3 linked regions of the Caenorhabditis elegans genome follow. The protein of the gene in region 1 purifies or fractionates together with the protein of each later gene. This does not show direct contact. Each region holds a gene or a part of one and is shown on either strand. Other genes may lie near its edges.

Region 1 (7,554 bases):
CAAAGTTTATGATAATTGACGGCCATTCAAATTTTCCTAACAAATTTCAAATCATTCGCTATAATTATGAACCAAATTAAATATATTCCTATTTTATTCAAAAGGTTATACACATTTGTTTCAAAAACAAATCAAATTATAATTACACTTCCAAATTTAAAACACTTTCGGGGGGAAAATCTAAGTTTTCAAAAAAGAAAACCTCGGAAATTTTAAATGTAAACTGAAACATTCAGATGAACTTTTAAAGTCTCATTAAAAAGAAATAAGAAATGGAAAGCTTCATGGAGTTTTTTCATGACAAATATAATTTCAAATAGAAAATTTTGTTTGATATGATCCTAGGTGTTTTTTATGTTGACATTCATTTTATGGATTTAAAATGATTATTGTCCATTTTCACTTTTAATGATCATCAACTCCAAATGTTGTACACGGAACTATAAAAGACAAAACGGACTCCAAAAGATCTCCCTGAACAAAAATTTCATAAATAGGGATGTTTTATGGAGGCATTCAGAATAAAACATGTCGCAGTAGAGAATGTGCAAAACGCATTCGAAGTGAAAAGGGAAAAACATTTACGTTCAATTTGGACGAAAATTTCAGAGATGGAATAAAATTCATGAAAGGGTGCAATATTGAGTAATCAGGCGGAAACGTTAATCTTCTGTACTTCTAAGTTTAAAAGTTTGGTGCTGTAATTTTTTCGAAAAAAAAAACTTTGTTAATGAATGTTCGAATATTTTTCGAAATATCATTCAAGCGTAACCATAAAAATGCCTTGGAGATGTGCAAAGGTTGCAAAAATAAGCACGAAGGTTCATCATCATTTTTCGATTTGGTCATCTACATTGCTCATCCAGCGAATGAGCTCGATTCAGGATTTCTTGGCATTCTTGTCGGAAAAGGAAAAAATGTGTAACGTTTCAAATAAATGTTCCGAATTGGTGGAAATCAAAAAGTTTCAGCCATCTCTGATATTTTACAGATCGTCATGAAAATTCGGCAGTGGCATTTTTTAACTAATGTTTATTAATTTGATTATTTCAATTATTCTCAAAAATTGAAAAACTTTATGCTAATGATTTTTTCAAACAAAAAAGTTCAATCTCGAAATGTCGCAAATCTGAACATACTTGAACATGTTTGAAGTGAAAAATATTACGAACTTCACTTCAAAACACAGAAATCAACAGAAGGTGCGGTTTATTTTAATGAATACTGACGGAAAAAGCATTCGTATTGCTCAGCGTTTGCTCGCAGATTTGCATACGTAATAAGGAAACGGCTACAAACCGCCTCAAGTGAAATCCTCGAGTATTTTTAGTTGCCGAATGTGACGGAGAAGTTGAAATGCTCAAAATGATTATCTCCTCTTTCTCGTACTTCTTTTTTCTTATGTCTCTGTTACATTCTATTTTATATTGTTGCGATTTTGTGAAAACGAACTTGTTTTTTGTTTTCCGTGTGTACACTCATAAACTTTCTACTTTTCGAGGACATGTTGAATATTTTTTGGTGCATACTTGTTGTCAGCTAGACAAATATAGGTTATAAATATTCAATAATCATTATTTTGTTATGCGAATAAATGGCAATAAAAATAGATAGATAATTTACATACGGGCAAATATAGATGAAAAGTCAGAGAGCATCGATGATTCTGAGCAAAAGGAATGCATAGGAAACGGGTGGGGATGGAAAATAAAACAGAAAGAACCATTGCCATCTGGCTCAGGTTTTTTGAATTGCAAATTTGGGGAGAAATAGAATAAATAGGATAACAGTGGTGGAGATTTGACCAGTCGTTGATGCTTAACACTTTTTGAAAAGTATTGTTTTTTTTTATTTCTAAATTCCAATCATTTAAAAGTTTCAGAAACGCAAACATTTATTCAAAATGAAATTCATGACACTTGGAACTCTATTCCTTCTGATTCAATTTGTATATTCTGTGAGGCAAGAAGAGCCACCGAAAACACAAAAGAGCAGTGAAGCACAAAGTATGTATTTTCATAGAAATGTAAAAAATAACAAATAGCCAGAAACGCGAATGTTATGGTTTTAATGATTCTGTAAATCTCTGAAATTGCATTATTATAATATTTTATAATATTATTTTCACAGATTTTAAAGCTACACATGATCGGCTGAAACGCCAAAATGGATATGGAATGTGGAATAATGGCGGTGAAGGAGGCGGAGCTGGAGAAGGAGGAAATTTCCCAATGGGCAATTGGAATGGACCAAACTCCAATGGTAGGTACATAAAAATATAAAACTCAACTCAATTTGAAAAAAAAAACAAAAGACCTTTTTCAAGTTTCCGGTTTAGGCTACAGTGGTCCTCAGCAACCTCCTCCAGACAATAGTATCAAGGGAAGTGTGGGGAATAAAAATTCAAAGCCAGCAGAAGAGACTGAAAATCAGAATAAAGAAGATGGTCAGACCCCTTGGATGCCAAACGAAGGTTTTATGTCAACTTAACTTTTAATAGTAATTTTATATTTTTAGCCAATGGCCCAAGTGGATATAATAATGGTCCTCACCCAAATGGAAACTTTCCGAACTTGAATGGGTATAACAACGGTCCCAGTTCATTCAATGGTGGAAACACTAATGTAGATGACGGTATTAAAGGGAGTGTTGGAGCAGCAGTTGAGCCAACTAAGTCACCATACCCAAACAATGGGTATGGGTACGGAAACCGAAACGGTTATGGAAATAATTTTGGTTTCAATCGTATGGCCGGAGGTAATGGTTATGGAAATAGTTTTGGAAGACCCATTCTTCCGAGAGGAGAGAGATTTTTCCGTGGGAGACAAGCCTGGAGATATTAATTTTGTTTTTATGCATAATGGTAAAATTGTCATGTGATATAATATTTCTGCAAATATAATGAATAAATATGTTTTCATTACCAGTACATGTATATTCATATCTAGCTTGATTTTTTGTTCTACATTGTTCTACATTTATGATGGCTGATAGAAGGTTGCCTGGTCATAAAGTTGATAAAAACTAAATGCGAAAAAGCTGATAGGCAAGTAATTTAATTCGAAATTCATCGGCAGTCATGAGGCGAGAATTGGCTCTATTTCTTGTTTGTTCAGTATTTGCCACTGTTTTCGGGTATGATTTCGTTTTTTCATTGATTAGTTGAAATATTTATAGTTTAGAACAGATTCATCTCCATCATTCAAGATTGACACTGTGAATAGTCAATTTTTACTTGATGGAGATCCTTTCACCTACATTGCTGGAGAAATACACTATTTCCGAATTCCGCATCAAAAATGGGATGACCGTCTGAAGCGAGTGCGAGCGTTAGGATTTAATGCAATCACCGTACCAGTTCCTTGGAATCTTCATCAATTTTATCAAGATGAAACTCCTATCCTTTCTGGAAATTTGGATTTGGTCAAATTCATAAAAGCTGCTGAATCAAATGGATTGTATACGATTCTCAGAATTGGTAATAGTAAAATATGTATTATGGGAGAAACGTTAAACATCACCGTTGGGTTTTATATTTTGATTATGCATGTTTTTTTACAAATATTTTAGGGCTTTGACCACGCGAGACAGCTAGAGTTCTTCAAAGTCTAATTTTTTACTAATTACTTTTTTTTTACTTTTACTTTTTTTACTAAAAAATTTACTAAATTTCAAAAGTTTCTTTGAACTGAGGGAATATTTTGAAGATTAAGGTTTAGCGGTTGAATATAATAAACTATAGGGCCGTACATTTCTGCTGAATGGGATAACGGCGGCCTTCCTTGGTGGCTCATCAGGAATACGAAAATTGGAAAGTACCGGAGCAGTGACCCATCGTAAGTTTTTCTCAGCATTTTTCCTTGCTTTTTACACAGTATACAACAAACAGATTTATGACGGAAGTAACTCAATGGTGGAAACATCTACTTCCAAAAATCTACCCGCTCATGAGAAAAAACGCCGGGCCCGTTCTCATGGTTCAAATTGAGCATTTTTACGGTGCGCTCGGCATTTGTGATCAGCAATATCTTCTACAGCTTGCAAATATGGCGAAGGAGAATTTAGGAAATGATGTTGTTCTTTTCACTGTCAATCCACCAGTTCTTCAATTTATGAGATGTGGAACACTTCCAAATATTCTACCAACTATCGAAATTGTGCCAAATGCAAATGCCGGGGAAATTGAAAGTTGGTTCAGTATGCAAAAAGCATTCATGCAAGGTTTGTGAACAAATTTGTGAATAATTGAAACAATAAATAGTTCAGGTGCGCCGGCAGTTGCTTCGCAGTTTCTTATCAATCCATTCAAACTATGGGGCAAAAATGTTTCTGATCCTTACCCAAATAATCTTATTATTCAAACGGCAAAAAGTAAATTTGCAAATAACTTTAAAATTATAATTATTTTTCAGCCGCATTTGCATTGAATGCTAGTTTAAGCTTTCATATGACTCACGGCGGCACAAATTTCGGATATTGGAACGGAGCCGTCGATCCTTACCCTGTCACCACGTCATATGACTCATTTGCTCCTATTTCTGAAGCTGGTGATGTTAATCCACTGTATATTTCCATTAGAAATTGGATCAGCAACATTCCTGGCTGGCAGAATCCGCCGACTCCAATTCCAGCTAACTTACCACGGACTGCGTATCCTGACGTCCAACTCACAGTATTTGACACAATTTCTGGTTTCATAATTGGCGCAAATCCCGAATGCTGGAGCAGCCCAGAAACGCCTAGAACGGCTGAATATATTCGTCAAGGATATGGATACATTTATTATAATACTGTTGGTTTTGAGATTTTTAAATTTCGTATAGTGTTGGTTTTTCCAGACCATTATTGAGTGCGGATCCCTGTATATTCCAACTTTTGCTGACAATGCGTATATTTTCTTGAATCAAAACTTTGTGGTAAACTTTTATATTTGTATAGAATTTTTGAAAAGTGAAGAATTTAGAGCACAGTTGTAAATTTAAACCTGGCTTATTTGAATCTAAACATTTGAAGGTACTGAAAAAATTACCGTTATGGAAAAAGGTATTTTGAAATTCCAAAATTAAAAACGTGCCAAACTTTTATAGCTAATTTTAGCATTGTAGAAGAAGTTCAGGAGAATTCATTGCTTGAATATTTATGTCATGACTATCAAAATTGATAGCATAATTATTTTGTTCAGGGTGCCCTTTACAAACAATTTGGCTCAATTCACAATAACACCATAGATGTTCAAGGATGTTTGGACCAGTTCAACTCATTGGAAATCATAATTGAAATAACTGGTAGAGACCATAACAACTACCCTGTTATGTCAAGAGTAAGGCCCCAACGTGTACGTTTTCAATTGAGAAGTTTCTTCCAGGGAATTCAAGGAAATGTCTACATGCGTAACATAACTCTCGAGAATTGGGAGAGCTGTGAAGTTCCAATTGAAACATACGAAATTAGTTTGGTGAAAAATTACGAGAGTCTGAAGCAACATGTTTTCGAAACAATTGACTTTGAAGTATCAGCTACTTCAAAAACGTGCGTCATATATTATTTTATTTACAGAAATCTCAATCGGCAGCAATAGAGCAACCGTCGGTGTTCATTGGAAATTTAATAATCAAAACAGCTCCAGCTGACACTTTTCTAGACACAAGAGGTTGGGGAAAAGGCGTTGTGACTATCAATCAGTACAACATTGGACGATATTGGGCTTCTATTGGACCACAGGTGCCCAATTTACTGTTTTTAATATATTTTTCAAAAGTTAATTTTCAGCAAACTCTTTATATTCCATCGGAATTCCTTCACAAAGGGGAAAATCTCATCATGTTTTACGAATTTGAAGGCGCCACAACAGCCTGTACAGCAACTGCTTGTACAGCAAAATTCACAAATATCCCGGTGTTTGATTATTGAGATCGTTTATTGAATACTTATAAATGTAATTTAATAGTCTAGTTGTCTTCATCAGAACTCTCCGTATCCTGTTCATCACTTTCATTACTCAGAGGGTTTCTGTACAAATGCAAAGAACTTCCACACTGTTTTGCCGCTTCTGCAACAGTTTGTTTTCCAACCGGGACATGATCAACTGAAGGGAGAAGCTCAATTGTATCCTCTGAACAAACATAATTAATCAAAGATAATATTAAAAACCAAAGTACCTTTATCATTAAGTCTACTCGCACTTTTGCTAAATCTCGCAATACTAGTGCTTGGAGCTCTACTTCTTGATTGTAAATAAGAATGAATTCCAGAAGGCGCAGTGGAGTTCGTGTCTGGTCCCATGCTCAGAAGTTGCCTTTGAAGTGATAGTTCGCGGAGCTTCTTCTGATTGTCACGAATGCTAATGAATTCGCCCAATGTTTCACTGTAAATTAGCTATGTACAAACATGTACAATAACTGAAGTTAAAATGTAAAATATACCCAGACGTTTTGTCGTCTCTCCATTTCTGCCCTTCTCTTGACCCAAAAAAAATGAGCACGAGTGCAAAAACAAAAAGAATTGAAACACCAAGAATTATGGCAAATAAGACGATGCTAAAACCATGTTCTGAGTATCCATATAGTTCACGTGGGGGTTGTTCAGGTTTTTCGTTCAAATTCTGAAATGTAAAGACATTTTTTCTGAAATTTTTTTTTGAAAATTTCTGAAATTAAATTCTAAAATTTGAAGAAAACATTAATCACATGCCCGGTCCGCTTCTTTCAGGTTATGGTTACTTGCCGCAATACTTTCGTTTGCTATTTGCCAGCTCACCCCGATAACCGCACGCGATTATTGTGGCTATGTAAAATTTCAAGGCCAAATGCATATTTTATGCTTAACTGTCAAACTTTGCTAATCCGTCCATTTCCATCTCGCTACTACTTTATTCGAGCCGTTCAATTGGTTTGTTAAGCTATTCTTCAGTGTAAAATGTTGAATAAACTAATAATCAAATGAAAACTAAGTTACGGTCGCTTCAAAGCTGTGCATTTCTCAAAACATGTAGAGTTTTGTTTAAAAGTTACCTGATCTGGATTCGCTTTTGTCAGTTTCTCTTCTTGTTCATCCTTTATCAATTCATCAATACCTTCTCCTTCAAGAGATGAAATATTTCTCTGAATTAATATTTAAACATTTTAGAATGTTGACAAATTTAATTATTTTGTTCTTACTACCGCAACATTACACCAGTCCACCGGAAATGTTGGTGCAAAATACTTATTCATCACGACAGATGAGGGATTTGAACAAAACTCGGGCATAGTTTGTAAATTGTGTACAATTGACATGGTTCCGGGATAGAACTTTTGCTGTGTACCAACATACACCATTGTTCTGAATTTTTCAAAAACTGAATTGAATTAAAACATTTTTTTACCCGAAACTATTTTTGAAAATGTGCTCCTTGCCACGTGGAATAATGTATCTGGAGCGAACACCTGCAATATATGGGTTTACATTTCTTCCCCGGAATGTGTTTCGCAATGAGTTTTCTAGTTGACCTGAACAATATTATGATGATGATGACAAAAGTGTGTTTTTTATTACTCACTTATTTTTCTGTCTCGA
Region 2 (6,111 bases), on another chromosome or scaffold:
AAACGATAAAGGTACTGTGGCTGGTAAAAAATTGCACAATTATGAATAATGGTTTTGTGTTTCCGGTTTATGGAAACTGTGACTCAAAAAATCACACAGATTTCTGAAAAATTTGCATCTTAACAATTTAAAGAACTTTCCCAATACAGTAATCCACACATGCTCGTTCTATCGTAAAATCGTCGAACCTTTTATTACTTTTTATTTATTTATTAGGATTGTAAAATGTATCAATAAATTCGTCAAGATCGCCAGAGTACCACGAAACTATGATTGTGCGATCAATAAAATCTGCCAGAAACATCAAGTTTCTCATAAAATAAATCGCATTCTGTTACCACGGAGCACTATTCGATTTGAATATACAGAAGACAAAAAACTATGAATTTTTATTAGAAACAATACGAATAATATGGAAATATTACGGTGCATGGGATTTGGATGAAAAGAAAGGGAATTTCTATGAGATTCATAAGTACATTTGTAAGGATCCCGTTTTGAAATTTCCCCCCAAAAGTGCACCTTTAATAATTTTGTTTTAATTTTTTAAGTTTGAGCATTGCAGGGGTTTTAGTTTGCCGCAATGCTCAAATTATCTCAAAAAGTATTTTTTGGTTTATGAAAAGGTTATGAAAATCTTGAAAAGAAACACGTGAAAGTCTCAATTTAGAAACTTATCTGTTCAATTAATTTATTCTAACTTTTGTTCTGCGACCTTGTGTATTCGGTGAGTTTTCTCTTCGGCTCTTTTTTGGGGAAGCTTTGCCGGCATGTTGGCATAAAGACCTTCAAGGACTCCTGATTCTCAGGAATCTGGTGAAAACGTCCGGTTTTTCATGCTTAATGCAGATTGTTTTCTATCTGTAATTATGCAAGTTATTTTTTCAGAAAGAAACATGGCAGAAAATAGTGAAACACTTCTACAACTTGCCCATCTCGGTTACAGCATGCTCGCTCCAATGGTGTTCACCGGATACGTCATTGACAATGTGGAGGAAAGAAGAAGACTGGTGGATCATCGGGTGGTGGTGGAGCTAAAACTGGAGGAGGAGGAGGAGATGGTGCAACCAGTGCAAAGAGTGATAAGAAAGAAAAATCATCGAGTGCTCCAAACCCAGAGGGACCAAAGGCTCCAAGTGATAAGAATGCTGTCGCAGGGACACATGATCCAAATTATCAAACTCTTGCTGGAGTTGATGGAAATGTGTTCCAAGAGAAAGGAAAAGCTTCTCCTGTTGCTGCTGCTGGTGGAGCTTCTCCTGCTGCTGGTGCTCCAAAACCTGGAGGTCCTGGAATGGCTGGTGAGTAAATATTTCATTGGATATTCAGATTCAACTACGTACTAACAAACTAATCATATTCAGCCACCCACGACCCCAACTACCAAACACTTGCTGGAATTGGAAACGATTGTTTCGACAAGAAAGAAGGTGCAAAACCAGCTGGTGGTGGTGCGGCTCCAGGTGCTCCAAAAGCCGGTGGTCCTGGAATGGCTGGTTTGTTTTTGTAGTTCACACAATCAAAGTTCAAATTTAACTTTCAGCTACTCATGATCCGAACTATCAGACACTGGCTGGAATTGGAAGCGATTGCTTCCAGAAGAAGTGATTTGTGTCAACTCGTGCAAAATCGGTACAATAACGAAATTATGTGACAAATCAGCCTTTCATCTCGTCCTTCAAATAAAATTTTTCAGTTGAAATGTTTTGCTTTTTAGTTTTTTTTTCAATTTTCCAATCAATATTTTCATGGTGGATGGACTTTTCTGTTTAACAAAACGCCCTTATATGGTTCGGAGTCAGCACTAAACTTTCAGGGAGAAATTTTCAGTCGTTTCAATAGTTTAAACTGGGGGAACTGGAAGATGGACAGAATATCAAAGATTCTTAATTTCTGCATAGAAGCCGCAATAGGCAAGTTCCGAAAACGTTAGTATTCCTTAAAATGTTATTTAAAAATTGTCGAATCTTTCATTTTTTCAAACATTTTCATACACAAAAGCATAGTTTATCATTTACCAATTTACCAAACCAATAGGTGCTGTATTTCCGTACCCAACTAGTTTACTTGGAAAATGTATATCTTGGTTTATTTTAGAGATATCAATAAATGATCAACTACAAAATTATATAAAAAGATTTTGAAAATAAGTTTCAGTTGACAATTTTTGTATAGAACAAACGACAACTAAGATATAAGCTGTCAAAGTTGAACAATTGGGTGCAATACTTATAGGAGAAATACGGTAAATAAACTTTATTTATCAGGCTGCTTTTAGACAATTTATTTAATGTCCACCATAGCATCAGTTTCATTCATTGATCCAAATATTCAAATTTGAGCAAATTGAGTTCATGACTCTTCCCAAATTGTGTACCATTCCGTCACCACACCACAATAATCCGTCACCAGATACACCACCTTACCTGATCGTAAATCGTAATCTAAAAGGCGGCAACGCCACCTAATCCATTATTTCTATTAAAACAAAAAAAACAGCAGATGACCCCTTCTAATGACGTCATTGTTCTGAAAGATATCGGAGGCGGTTCGATCGTATTGTTGTTGTTGCGCAATGCAGCGTTCTGGTGAGTCTCTCCGCGCGTCTTGGATATACATGTCATTTGTGGTCACTCTTTATCGTGCACATTAGCGCATATGCACCGTGTGCAGACACATTTCGAATAGGTGACCCCTGTCTTTCTTTGGTCATTTCTATTTATTTTATAATATTTTGTTTGGCTCTTTTTCTTTTTTGAATCCTTTAGTTCTCTGTTGATCCCTTCTTTCTTTTTTTAATAGCAAAAACTTTAACTTCTAAAATGCTATTCTGGTAAATCAGTTCAATTCGCGCGCCTATTTTGTGCCTACATGCCTACCTTCTCCCACTTGTTAACACTTTTTGCTTGTTTGTTTTTCCAATTCTATAAACCTTTGAGGCAGGCACATGTGCCTGAAGGTGTGGCTGCCTACAATAGAAGAATTAGGTGCATCTATAGGCAAGCTGGGAGTATACTGTATCTAATTATATTTTTTTGTAGCTGTTCAACAAACTTTATATTCTAGACTTAAATACTTTTTTGACCTACCTCCACAAACTCGGCGGGATTTTTATCCAATTTATAGTTTTCATTCCTCAATCTTACTTCTTCTTTTCCCATTTTTTAGTCATTCCATCATTGGTTTTTGAAAGTTTTCTGGAATCTAACTCAACTTTCCTTTCGTTTCACTTTCAATTTATCGATTTTCAGATGCGTCTTCTGATTCTTCTCCTAATTTGCTCTGCATTCTCCACATGCTCAGTGCTCGACTCATTCCGTGCCAATGGAATCGAGTTTGAAGTTTACGGTGAAGGACGTCTGATTCCGGAGAAGCAACACTGTGTACCGTATACCTTGGATCTCAATGAGTTTGTCAACTCGTTCAACACGAACAATATGAATGAGTACAGTCGAGGGCTTCTTCAAAAGCGGATTTTCACGAGTTTCGACGCAATTTGCCGCAAATTCAATATCCAAACCGAGAACGAGCAACCAGAATACAATCTGACAGAGGATAGATCTCAAATGAGATATTTGGATTATTTCGACTACAATTGGAATAGTCTTCGATTCGAACGAGATCTCAAATCTCTATTTTTGGAGAATAAAATCAATAATCCATTCCTGGATTCAGTCACTGAAGAAACCATCAAAAGAGCCGGAGCCAACGATGTTCTAGACTTTGCTCAAAAGACAACGGTATTCCCGAAGACTTGCAACGTGAAACAGATGACTGTTCAGACGATGATTTGCTTCAATATTTCAGATATTCCACAATCTGGAACTATTTATGCGGTAAGTCCTTTGAGTGAATTTAAAGAAAAAAAAAAAATATAATTTCAGTTGGCCCATGGAGGAGAGTTCTTGCACAATGAGGAGGTCTATGCCTATTATGATATTCCACAATTCGTCCTGATCACTCAACAAGCTGTAATCCCAATTGAGCTTGAAAAATGCAAAGTTTTGGTTAGTATTACTGAATACTCTTTCAAATTAAATGTTTCAATTTTCAGTTCGGCACGTACATTTACTGCTTCGAAGAATTTGACACCCAATGCGACGTTCGTACTCTCTCGGATTGCCCAATTTACGCCTACAAGACCGAAGATGAGTTTGTCTTCCGCAGAAGCTTCGGAATCGGATATATTTACGCTACGACCGAGTCTGATGTTGATTTGTATCAAAATGGCACAAAATCAACCGTTCCTGGACGTGTCTTCGTGCTCCGAACTAGTTTTGGAACTCCAACCACTGAAAACGGATCACCAGTTATGATGCCCGATATGACACCTCATCACGAGCCGGAGAAGAGCCAATTCGCCGAATTGCTGCCAGAATCGCAGAAGATTCTGAAGTCCGACACTCCGACACGATTGTATACCACTCAACGACGTGGTGTGAACATGCTAAGCCATAAGCATTACGATCAAGGAGCCTGGGATGCCGTTCGAGACTTTTTCGGATTTTAATTGACTTTTAATTTTAATATTTTTTTCACCACGAGTACCAATTTCCATCAGGGATCCAATCCTTTTTTTCAAATTTCAATTTCCAATATGAATCTTTTAATAAAACAAGTTTGACAATTTGACACTTTATGCGTTAAAAAAAAGCAATTTATTTGAATTTCAGAGTAGCCGGAAGTTTTTTTGGGAAGTCAATAAAATGAGTATCAGATACATAGACAGAAAGTGTGTACCGAGTGGTGAATTAAAGAAAAGCTACAGAACAGAGAGCGAGATGAGTGAACAGAAGAAAGAAAAATAACACGTTGGGATGGAATTGACTAAAAAGATGAACAGGAGATGATGAGGAATTAAAGACGACTACAGTATGCACAACATGGGGATTTCAGGTGGAACAGAGCAAAAAAGAAACAAAATGAAAATGGTGAAAGATGAGTGAAGAAATGGTATAGTTCATATGTACACGCATTTCTATATACAGACGTTTGTAATGGGGACAAATACAGCCAACACTGCAAACCAAACTCGAAAACTTCTACTGGGCAAGAAAATGGGAATATTTTTTGCAGAAGGCATTCATGGTTTGGCAGTTGATGAGGAAGTCGGCGAGCACACGATTTGTTGTAAGGATTGCATATTATGGGCAGTTAACGAGGAAAGTATGGTTGAATCGACTGGTTCAAGGCACGAAGGACATGTGAATGACTTCATAAGCCATTCGTCGACGCATTCTTGATGAAACGAGTGCATGCAAGGAAGGAATCGGATTCTCTCTCCTGGCTCAAAGTCGATCATACAGATGGCACATCTGAAAATGGTTTTTTTAAAAATTTAACTAGAGCGCATTAATACTGATTATACAGGCGCGAAATTTTGCGCCAAAGTGCGATACACGGTCTCGACACGACAATTTTTTGTTTAATGCGAAAAGGTGTGAGCCTTTATAGAATACTGTATTTTCAAACTCTCCTTGCAGCGGAAATTTCATCATTTTTTAAGTTTCGTGAAAATGTATGTGATTTTTTAATCACATATATTTGAGTTTTCAAAAAAGAATTAAAAATCTATGAAATTTCCGTATATATCTATAGTTTAAAATTACAGTAATCTTTAAAGGCGCACACTCTTCCACAGTACACAAAAATTTTGTCGTGCCGAGACCGGGAACCATATTTTGTGAGTGAAATTTTGCGTCTGGGTGATAATAATTTTTTCAACACCTCTGCTGTAGCTCGAACAATAATTGATATTGGTCAGATTGTAGTTTGAATAATTTAGTTAATTTTTCATTTAGATCCGAATTTCAAAACTTACTCATTACTGGTCATATCTCCTCGAAATACATCAGCAGGGATTTGCTCGAGAAGTCCTCGAATTCGGTTTTTTTTTGCTTCGTCGAGTTCCTGAGAATTTTTTAAAATTTAATTAAAATTATTCTGCTCTAAACGCTCACTTTTCCCTGTTCCTGTGCTTGTCGTTGTCTAATTACGTTGTGTTGATAGAGCTGATTTACGTACGAACTCTGAAAATTTCAGTTTAATTAAATTCAGATTCTTCAATAATTTCTTACGCTTTGTTGCATCATTGACGGATTTGTGAAGCTC
Region 3 (9,336 bases), on another chromosome or scaffold:
CTCTCTTCTCCTTCATATCTCTTGCCTCTCTCTTATTATTTAGTTGCATCCTTATTAATTTCTAATTTTTGATTCAAAACGCCTTCTTGTTTACTTCAAATTTCTTGAAATTCCTGGTCTTTTTGGAATTATTAATCATGAATTTATAATTTGTCTAAGAGTGTTAATCTAACGTTTTCTGAAAGTTTGTGTTACAGTTCTCATCTACATTGGCAACTTGTCCTTTTAAAATTCAATGGAACGTCATTCCTTTCTTATTTAATTATTAGTGCATCTAACTTTATAAATAGAAATATAAATTATTTCTTCCAAATTTGTCCTGACTGCAAACGAGCAGACAGGAAATCATCTACGTCTATGCTTTAATGTTCACTTCCACTTTTCTCATCGTTTATCAAATTTAAATATTAAGATATTTATATTGAAACGCAATCAGTAAAATGTATAGTTATATGGCGTGCGCTCATTTCCTCCAAATCTCTCTGGAGACGTTGTTCCATCCGACGTCATAATTGAAGGTGTCTGCCTTCTCTTTCCCACCCCCTCATAACTATCCTTGTCTTCTGCTTTATACGCTTCTTCTTCTTATCGACGTCGTCGGGTAATCGGAGCTAATTTTAATGAATCACATACAGTGTAATTTGAGCCCGCTAACTTCGTCTTCTTTGACACATCTTCGTTTTCGTTTTTAGTACTCGGAAATATATATTTATAGGGCATTTTTCAGTTCCTCACCGCTCTCAACAACGGGCCACACGCTACGACAGTACGCAATGTACTGGTTTCGTCAAGTTTACAGGTGAGCTTATTTTGAATCTTGACGTCGAAAAAGTCCAGACATTATTCATCTTTTACCCTGCATCTTAATTCGAATAATTTTTCCAGACCCTCGTTCTTCTTTGGCTTTCTCGCGATCCTTCTCCTCTCGTCGCCGACGCCTTCAGACGCATCGATTCGACTATGTGGATCACGTCTCACAACAACCCTTTTAGCAGTATGCCGGAATCAGCTGTGCACTGGATTAACCGCTTTCAAACGTTAGTAATTCTCGATGGGGTCTCCGGGGGTGGAAAACCTTATGAAACATTCACGATGCTCAAAAAAGCTTTTTCTTCAAAGATACCAATGTTGAAGTCCATATTAATGCACTTTTGAGATACCTACTGTTTGATAGATTTTGAGTTTTGATTGATGGTAATTAACTACGTCAAGCTTGTCATTTGATAGTTGTCTAGAAAAAGAGAGATAATTATAACCACAAGACAATTTTAATGTTAGATTTTTTATATTGTAAGTCATGAGTGTTGAGAATACGTAGACAAAAAACCAAATGGATGTTGTCACTTTTAAAGTTTGAAATAGGTTCTGAAGTTGAAAATCATTAAATGACGTATAATTATAATTCACTAATTTAGTCACTGAATTAGCTTGAAATCGAATAAAGTGCATATATATTCCAAAATAGAAGCAAGAGACAAAAATAAATCAAGTATTTATAAGTTAGGGACAATGAATAAGTTTTTGAAATGATTATGAAACTATTAAAAACACTGATAGACTATCAATTACTTGATTTTTGTGAGAAAAAAAAAACAAATTTGATACGGATTGAAATGATCAGACAATAAAAAAACCGAAACCACACATGACTCGTTCAGCAGAAGTATGGATTGAGCTCCACACAGCCACACCTCATATTTTGAATAGATTACAACTCAGATCCATATTACAAAAAATATACAAACGCCTGTAGGCCTGTAGGCACAAGTAAACCTCTGTGTGTTCAATCAATATAATATATTTTGAAACTCCTCAGTATTTATTCTCCAATCAAAACTACAATCAAAATGTATTATTCAGGTTCCGCCGACCAATCCTATGCACCAACAACTCGCGATCTTTTTCACATTCACCACCAACAAAAGCGAGGCGGAATTGCGACAGAATGTTGTGAGAAGCGATGTTCATTTGCATATCTCAAAACATTCTGCTGCAATCAGGACGATAATTGATAACTTATTCATCATATTTTCTCATCATCGGGTCTCGTGCGCTGCATTATTAGACTGCGCGGAGGCCTCTGATCAGGTCAATATCGTTGGCAGCTCACCGGACCCTAACCTTTTCTTTTCTATCTGAAAATATTTGAATTGTTCTCTCCTCTCTTTGTTTTCTCTTCTCTGTCGTTGCCGTTTCCAATCTTTCTCTTTCTTGATAATAATCCAAATTTTTAATTGCATAATATGACAATACAAAGTGATAATAGTGAAATTGCCTATCCTTCCTCTATTTCCCTGTCCAACAGTTTCTGGTCTTTATTAGTTTGCCACGATATATCTTTCAATCCAGTTTGACCTGATCTCAACTTCACAGTCGTCTGATGCATCCATTCTTTTTAAATTTGAAAAAAATAAATTTAAATTTTGTTTCAATCTTAAACATTTTTTATCTTATGCATTATTAAATTGCGTAACTTATGAGAAAATCAACGAGTTTTACTAGTTTGACGTTCAAACATGCTGTCACATTTGTGATCAAATGTTGAACCTATTTATAGAAATAAATGGTATAAATTTTGAATGAATTTTTCAAGGTCGCCGATTTGCCGGAAATTTTCAACTCTGGCAATTTGCCGGTTTGCCGATTTGCCGGAAATTTCAATTTCGGTAACTTACCTATTTGCTGGAAACTTCGACTCCTGCAATTTGCCGATTTACCACTTTTCCGGAAAATTCGTCAATTTGCCAGTTTGCCGGCAATTCACCGGTTTTCCGATTTGCCGGAAATTTACAATTCCGGCAATTTACCGGTTTGACGATTTGCCGATTGACCAATTTGCCGGACTAACGGGCCTGTGGGCCCGCGAGCCCTTCGGGAATGGGGACTGTTTTAGAGAACTGGAAATATTAAAAGCTTTATAAATCAGGTGTTTTCTAATTGAAAGAAAAGTTGCATAGCAGGCTCCGGCCTGCCTATATCAAAAATAGTAAATATTTCCAAGTAGCTAGACTCTAATTGATGATTATTGAACTTTCAAACTTCTGTTTCTTTTCCGCCCCCACTCCTCTAATGTTTCAACTGTCTCCTGCGTCTTCCGAAATTGGGAGAATGGTGGAGCAAACAATTGCCACTGATAAGCCTCATTCAATTTGATAACATTTTTACTTTCTGTCTTTTTCTTTCGCTATATCAACGTACTACCTGCGTCAGAAAGTAGCACAGTTCAAGATGAACCTCGACGTTCCATCCGGTCGTCGGAAAACTATCAAATTTAGAACAAGAAATTTTTCTATTGAGGATGATAAATATTGGGTAAGTCGGATAAGAATTTGAAAGTATGTACATAATGATTCTGCTCAATTACGCAAAAGAATTAAAACATTTTTAGATACAACCGTCACGATGCACTTCCGTAGATATGTCGTCAAGGGAAATTATTAATAAGCTGAACGAAATGGAACAAGAAGTAAGAAATTTTTTTCGAAAGTTTGAAAAAATAATGATAGGATTTGATAAAAATAGCGATTTTAATGGATCCAAAACTATATTATATACTATATTATATAAACAAAACTATTATGTAGATATTAGAAGTTTTAAACATTGATAACGGTTTCTATGATGTTTTGTCAAAATATAAATAATTAGAATTTTAACTGCTTCCCTAATTCGTTTCAGGATATATTCTAGAAATTATCCAGCATTAATAAATAAACTATTGAACATTAATATAAACTTTAAAGGAGAAGCTGTTCATAACATATGATGTCATTGAACGTAATCCAAAGTTTGCAACGGTCGGTGGATCAATCTTTGAATTCATCAACAACACGATGCAACCTATTCTTAAATGTCATCTATCGCAAGTTAAAGACACAAACATGTTGCACTTAATCGCGTCTTCCTTCTTCAAAAGGTATGTTAAGATTTCAGGGATTTTGGCGGTTGAAAAAGCAACTAAAGTGTAGCTCAGGAGCGATCTTCACGAGATTTGGGCTAAATGCGAGTATCCGATTTTTGCTGGGTTACTAGTGGTATGTTTGGAAATATTTAGAAGAAATAAAAAAACAAAAATGTACAGATTCTGACAATAGAAATATTATGATTTCTTCACAGTGTAAGGTTTTGAACGGGACTGTTAATTGCAAATTTTCTATTATTCTTTTATCTCGTTACTCTAATTTTATTACGGTTTCTACATAAAATAAATAAAACTAATCAACTACAAAAAAAGAATTAACTATTTTTTATACATATGTTTCCGGAGGCCATGAAACCTGGTATTTAGATCTTTCAAGTAATGTTTTGCACTTTTGAATATTTCGATGAGATTCGAAGTTGTTTTTTTTCTTTATTTAAACTTAAAATTTTAACTAAAAGAAATCAGGAACAACAGAAGCCATTATTGCAGGTGTACGTCAGTGAAAAAATGAGGAAATTGTTTTCGGGACAACACGAGCCGGTCATTGCCGAAGCATTTGAAAAGATTCAAAAGTGAGTCAACTGTTTTTGTGAAAGGAAACCTAAAATTTGGATCTTAAATTGAAATTCTAAAATAGTTGAGAAGGACTGATTTATTTGAATTAGACATTGATCAAAGTTTGAAGTCAAATTTTCTTTTATTTAGAAATTAAAAATTGTTCATTACAAATTAAATTCAAACTTCTCTATCCCAGACTCCGATGTATCAAGTGTGAATTCGTCGTAATTTTCTTAAAATTTCAGTTCGTTTGACGATGAATGCACTGCACTTCTAGATCAATGTTTTCATACAAGTGAACGAGACACTAGAGCTGTATTGGATACAAATTATCATTTATTTATCCATACAGATGGATGCCCTTCAGTTGAAGAGGATATGGAAGTGATGGCATTAGCGTCGGCGGCGAAGGCAAAAGTTTGTTATTTGAGTGGGATTAGAAGTGATTTATGACTCGAATTGCAGAACTTCCTATCTCATCCAGCATGCCAACGAGAAATTGACTTTCGATGGCAGCCTGGTTTCAAATTAGGACAAGTGAGTTTTATGAGCAAAGCAGGATGTTTGTGAACTAAAAGGAATCAGAGAATAAATGGAAATTAGATGAGGGTGGAGAAATGTAACATGATATGAATCTTATAGATCTTTTAATAATGGAACATTTCTGAACTACGAGAACTATGGTCAATTTTTCTTTAAAAAAAATGGAGGGAATCAATTTTTTAATAAATTTGTGCAATAAGAATAAAACCAAAATTATATTTTCAAAACAAATATACATATTAACTGTATTCATAATATAATTATTCCTCGTAAAATTGTGACGGTTTCAGATGGCATTCTTCTTATTTTTCTTTTTTCCGCCGTTGTTTTTCTTACGCGGAAAGCAGAGAATCAAGAAACGAGAAATCAAAACAATGATGTTGAAAATGGATCATTCTGGGAATATGACTTCTATTACTTATAGGTTTGAAAGTTCCAGTGAGGAAAAGTTTAAAACTACTCTTATGGTGCGAGAATAGTCACTTTAGTCATTTAAGCACCATGTAGTTTTAAATGTTTTCCCACTGTCGCTAGTTAACTGTCATCACAGTTATACGCAATGTTTCAATTAATTTCAGTAATTTTCTTATTCGAGTCTACAATTTCTATACATCTCCAAATGCAAAATATGTTATTCACACTCTTTTTCGGTTAATATACGTGATATTCTATGCATACGTTTTGATGACAATGACACGAAAAACAATGGTTATGAATGAATTAGACGAGTTTTTGGATGAAATGGCTATTATAGTTTGGCAGTGTGCATATCTAACTGAAATGGCTGTATTGGTTTATCAAAGAGTAAGAATTGCGAATATTATATCATGAAGTCAGCATTAAGACACATTCAGGGTTTCTATAATTGGGCTGAACGAAATACAGCTGATCTTTACCGTAACTATTTGGTTGCAATGACAATGATAGCCTGGTCTGTAGCTGTAATTGCTCCTCCAACATGGCCTATTCGAGCTTTTGCAATCATTTCTGCCGACTTATTCTTTTATTTTTCTTTCGTTTTTGCAACTCTCCGACTCATGAAAATTGCAAATGTCGATGCATTTTTTGGTTCAATTGTCCTTATGATCAAGAAAATGGTAACATAAAACTGTCTGATTGACTTATCAAATATCAGATTACAGATTCCAATAATGGTCAAATTTATGTTTGTGTTTATGGTATTTTGGTTCACCTATGCAGTTTGTCATATCAGTTTGGCGGGGCATTTGAAGAGTACTCCAAATATAACCGATGTCGTTTGGCCTTGGCTGATTTTCAGTAGTGGTGCATTTGAAATTTTTGGAGAAGCTGATGAGGAGGATAAACTAGGTTAGTTTTCATTTTTGGAAGATTGAAGGAATATATTTTTTATGGATTTCAAAAATTGAAACGTTTAAAAATATAAGTCACATCACTATGTTCTGCGTTGGTTTCAATCAGCTCCAAAAAACGTCCAGGTTTGTCCTCCAGCGTACGTCCCTACAACCTCTGCATTTGCAGTTAGCAAATGAAAAAATGTTCACTTTTATTTTGAAAGTAGGCGCAATACAGGAATACCTCAAAGATTTGTAGTAACTTTTGAGTCTGTTGTATAATTGATAGCACGCTTCTAATCAAAAGTCTTATTTAGGGACTGTCAGTAAATGCTCGTCAGCACCTCTGAACTGGGACGTCATTACTGATTCTTCGGTACAATGCTGGTTCAAAGTACGCAATTTTCTTAAGATCCAAAACTTTCATGAAAATATAATTTCCAGACAAGTATGATACCTGTATTCTTATTCTGTTACATGTTGGTCTCAAGTGTACTCCTTGTGAATTTGGTTACCGCACTCTTATCGTATGTTATCAGGGCGTAATGGAAAACTCCAAGAATAGAAAACCCAATGATAAAAGTTGAAATTTCCAGGAAAAAGTATGAAGATATTGACAAAGTTTCACATATTTACTGGAAATATAAACTGTATAGTCGGTTGATTGAGTGAGTTCAACTGAGGAAGAAAAAAAGCAAGACACATTATTTCCAGGTATGAAGAAAAATTATGGATTCCTGCACCACTCTCGTTGCTCTTTTACATTCTCAAAACTTTTTGCTTTTTTCTATCAAAAATTCCAATCATTGGAGTTATACCCAATTACTTTATGAAAATTTTACACATTTTCGAAGGGAAAGTATATGCAAAAGAAAGGAGGAAAAATCGAAAATATGAAGCAGTAATGAATGGATTAATATCTAACCCGAATCGATGGGATGGTCCTACAGAAGATGAGAAAAAGTCAGTGGAATTAGTCAGAGAGCAAATGAGCATTTTGGTGAGTTTCCTGCAATATTTTTGTCTTTATTGGTTAACTGACACACGGTGAGCTATGTACACTCTAGTGTGAGACGTTCAATTTTAATTTTGATTATATCAGTAGATAGATAAATAAATTTTCGTAAAACTTCTATGGAAGAGCGGTTTTTGAAAGTTAATAGGGTTTTTGAGTAGGAGCCAATTCACCGAGCATTGGCTGAGCATCTAACTCGTGGGAACGTAGTTTTTAATTACCCTACTGTACCTAACATTTGAAATTTCTACAATTTTCAGGAAGCTGACCGTAAAAGGAAACGCCTCGAGACGGACCTCATTCGAACTAGATTTGAGGAGATTATGTCTGAAATTGAAAACACGAACCGGTTCAGAAGAATACGATCTCAAACAACGTTCTAGCAATTTCGCGTGGAATTTATTATTTTAAACGAAACATTCAAAACGTGGAATAATATTGCACAACTTGAAAGTTTATGGAACATTATTTCAAATAAAGATGTATATTAAAAACTATCTTTTCGTGTTGTGTTGTTTTAGTTTTCAAATAGAATATGTGGAATCGCTAAAAGTAAGTTTTGTAAGGTGATTGAAACTGGACACAAGGCGGGCGGGCGTTTTCATTGCTAAAACTTCAAAAAACAATTACAATTGTCGGCAGCATTTTTCATTGCAAATTATCTATTGTAAAACATTTTTGCATACTAATGTAATTTGCACTCAGATAGCAATCAAACTATTCGAGAAAGATCCGAATGAAGTTAACATATTGACTTCCTTAATGAGAACGGGAGATATTCCTAAATTTGTTTCCAAGACAACTAGAATGTACCGTATTCAAGTGAGTTAAAATTTTCGCCATGTAAGTAAAGTCCGCATTTCAGAACGAAGTTTGCAACAAAACTGAAATATTTCAATTTTCGATCGGAAATAAAGTTGTCAGCTGTCCTCTTTACGATGGGTTGGCTTTTCTTGACAATAATTCAACACATATTGTGCAATGTCCAACATATTGTGAAGTTTGCAAGAAAATGTTCATTTGTTCGAAAAGATCATTGACAGGTCAGTTTTTAGAACTTTGAAAAATCACAATTTCTGTTTTCAGGAATCATCTACACACCGGATGGTCGCAAAAAAGATTCAATTGATTTTCAATATGGTTTTCTTGATCAACCTGTTGTTCGCGGCGTCGACTGGTCAATTTTTGTTGTGTATATTTTCATATTTGCCTTATGTGCAAATATTATAACTTTTGCGTTTTCAGATAATTAAATAATAAATAGTTTATTCAATTAAACTTGAATACAGATCAAAGCAAGCACAAAACTCATGCACGGGAATAGACTTAATCACTGGAACTATGAGTTCTATTTTCGAAAAAAACAATCTAATTTAAAATTGATCAATTACGAACCTGTACAATACGGAGAGACACAAAAACACAGAAATGCAAAACAGTTAAACTTTAAAAGCTCCTGGACACATAGTGAGACCTTTCGAATAGAAATCAGAACCCGTATCAATTGATTCTTGAATCAGCTTTTTCCAACATTCCATTCCCATAACACCTCCAAACTTCTTGAAACTTTTCTCGACCCATTCGTTGTTAAGGTACGTACTACGGTAGAAATCTCCTGGGTCACAAGCCAGTGTAACAATCGTAAGACGATGCTTGATAGCAGATTTTCTGGCTCTGAAAATTGTGTTCATCAAGATTTGATAGCCAAGGTATACGCAAGGTATATTGATACGCTTGCGTAAACTAAACTATTAAAACATATTTTTTAACGCAAAAATTTAAATGTACTAGTAAACGCTTAAGTCGTCAAAAGACAACGAATAAATACTCTAGACGGATTAGTTTGCAATGATGTCAGTTTGAATTACTTACTTGTTCTGATAGGCTTTGTAAAGAGAAACAAGGAAGTTGAGTGATGTTGACGGTCCCACATTATAACCTTTTTCATCGAGAATTCTCATTGTAGCTACTGATGCAATATCAGG

What was found.
Region 2: the proteins of bgal-2 (region 1) and C01G6.3 fractionate together in Caenorhabditis elegans (co-fractionation; one large-scale study listed by BioGRID). This does not show direct contact.
Region 3: the proteins of bgal-2 (region 1) and F13B12.3 fractionate together in Caenorhabditis elegans (co-fractionation; one large-scale study listed by BioGRID). This does not show direct contact.

The regions. Positions count from the first base shown.
Region 1 is NC_003284.9:6,781,355-6,788,908, forward strand, and holds bgal-2 (Glycoside hydrolase 35 catalytic domain-containing protein), read left to right. Parts: upstream 1-3,056; 5' UTR 3,057-3,079; coding exon 3,080-3,135; intron 3,136-3,182; coding exon 3,183-3,478; intron 3,479-3,742; coding exon 3,743-3,836; intron 3,837-3,889; coding exon 3,890-4,221; intron 4,222-4,266; coding exon 4,267-4,371; intron 4,372-4,412; coding exon 4,413-4,792; intron 4,793-4,838; coding exon 4,839-4,916; intron 4,917-5,182; coding exon 5,183-5,320; intron 5,321-5,365; coding exon 5,366-5,509; intron 5,510-5,556; coding exon 5,557-5,721; intron 5,722-5,769; coding exon 5,770-5,910; 3' UTR 5,911-5,948; downstream 5,949-7,554. Other genes in the region: idpp-6 (Prion-like-(Q/N-rich)-domain-bearing protein), read left to right, coding at 1,904-2,006, 2,131-2,262, 2,339-2,473, 2,518-2,843; sgca-1 (Dystroglycan-type cadherin-like domain-containing protein), read right to left, coding at 5,949-6,112, 6,159-6,364, 6,423-6,601, 7,011-7,100, 7,158-7,320, 7,364-7,487, 7,538-7,554.
Region 2 is NC_003280.10:9,266,643-9,272,753, forward strand, and holds C01G6.3 (Lipoprotein), read left to right. Parts: upstream 1-3,245; 5' UTR 3,246-3,251; coding exon 3,252-3,836; intron 3,837-3,884; coding exon 3,885-4,007; intron 4,008-4,054; coding exon 4,055-4,510; 3' UTR 4,511-4,625; downstream 4,626-6,111. Other genes in the region: C01G6.2 (uncharacterized protein), read left to right, coding at 897-1,301, 1,365-1,496, 1,544-1,654; C01G6.4 (RING-type domain-containing protein), read right to left, coding at 5,084-5,315, 5,822-5,910, 5,961-6,029, 6,078-6,111.
Region 3 is NC_003282.8:10,435,981-10,445,316, forward strand, and holds F13B12.3 (Ion transport domain-containing protein), read left to right. Parts: upstream 1-3,142; 5' UTR 3,143-3,228; coding exon 3,229-3,312; intron 3,313-3,388; coding exon 3,389-3,466; intron 3,467-3,743; coding exon 3,744-3,916; intron 3,917-3,968; exon of another isoform or gene 3,969-3,973; coding exon 3,974-4,034; intron 4,035-4,411; coding exon 4,412-4,494; intron 4,495-4,725; coding exon 4,726-4,897; intron 4,898-4,945; coding exon 4,946-5,017; intron 5,018-5,313; coding exon 5,314-5,447; intron 5,448-5,601; coding exon 5,602-5,827; intron 5,828-5,877; coding exon 5,878-6,120; intron 6,121-6,165; coding exon 6,166-6,352; intron 6,353-6,653; coding exon 6,654-6,730; intron 6,731-6,780; coding exon 6,781-6,863; intron 6,864-6,932; coding exon 6,933-7,004; intron 7,005-7,050; coding exon 7,051-7,336; intron 7,337-7,611; coding exon 7,612-7,734; 3' UTR 7,735-7,850; downstream 7,851-9,336. Other genes in the region: ins-1 (Insulin-like peptide INSL5), read left to right, coding at 774-799, 886-1,037, 1,861-2,012; F13B12.7 (Neprosin domain-containing protein), read left to right, coding at 8,114-8,173, 8,217-8,394, 8,438-8,604; Putative pyridoxal-phosphate dependent protein F13B12.4, read right to left, coding at 8,791-9,025, 9,224-9,336.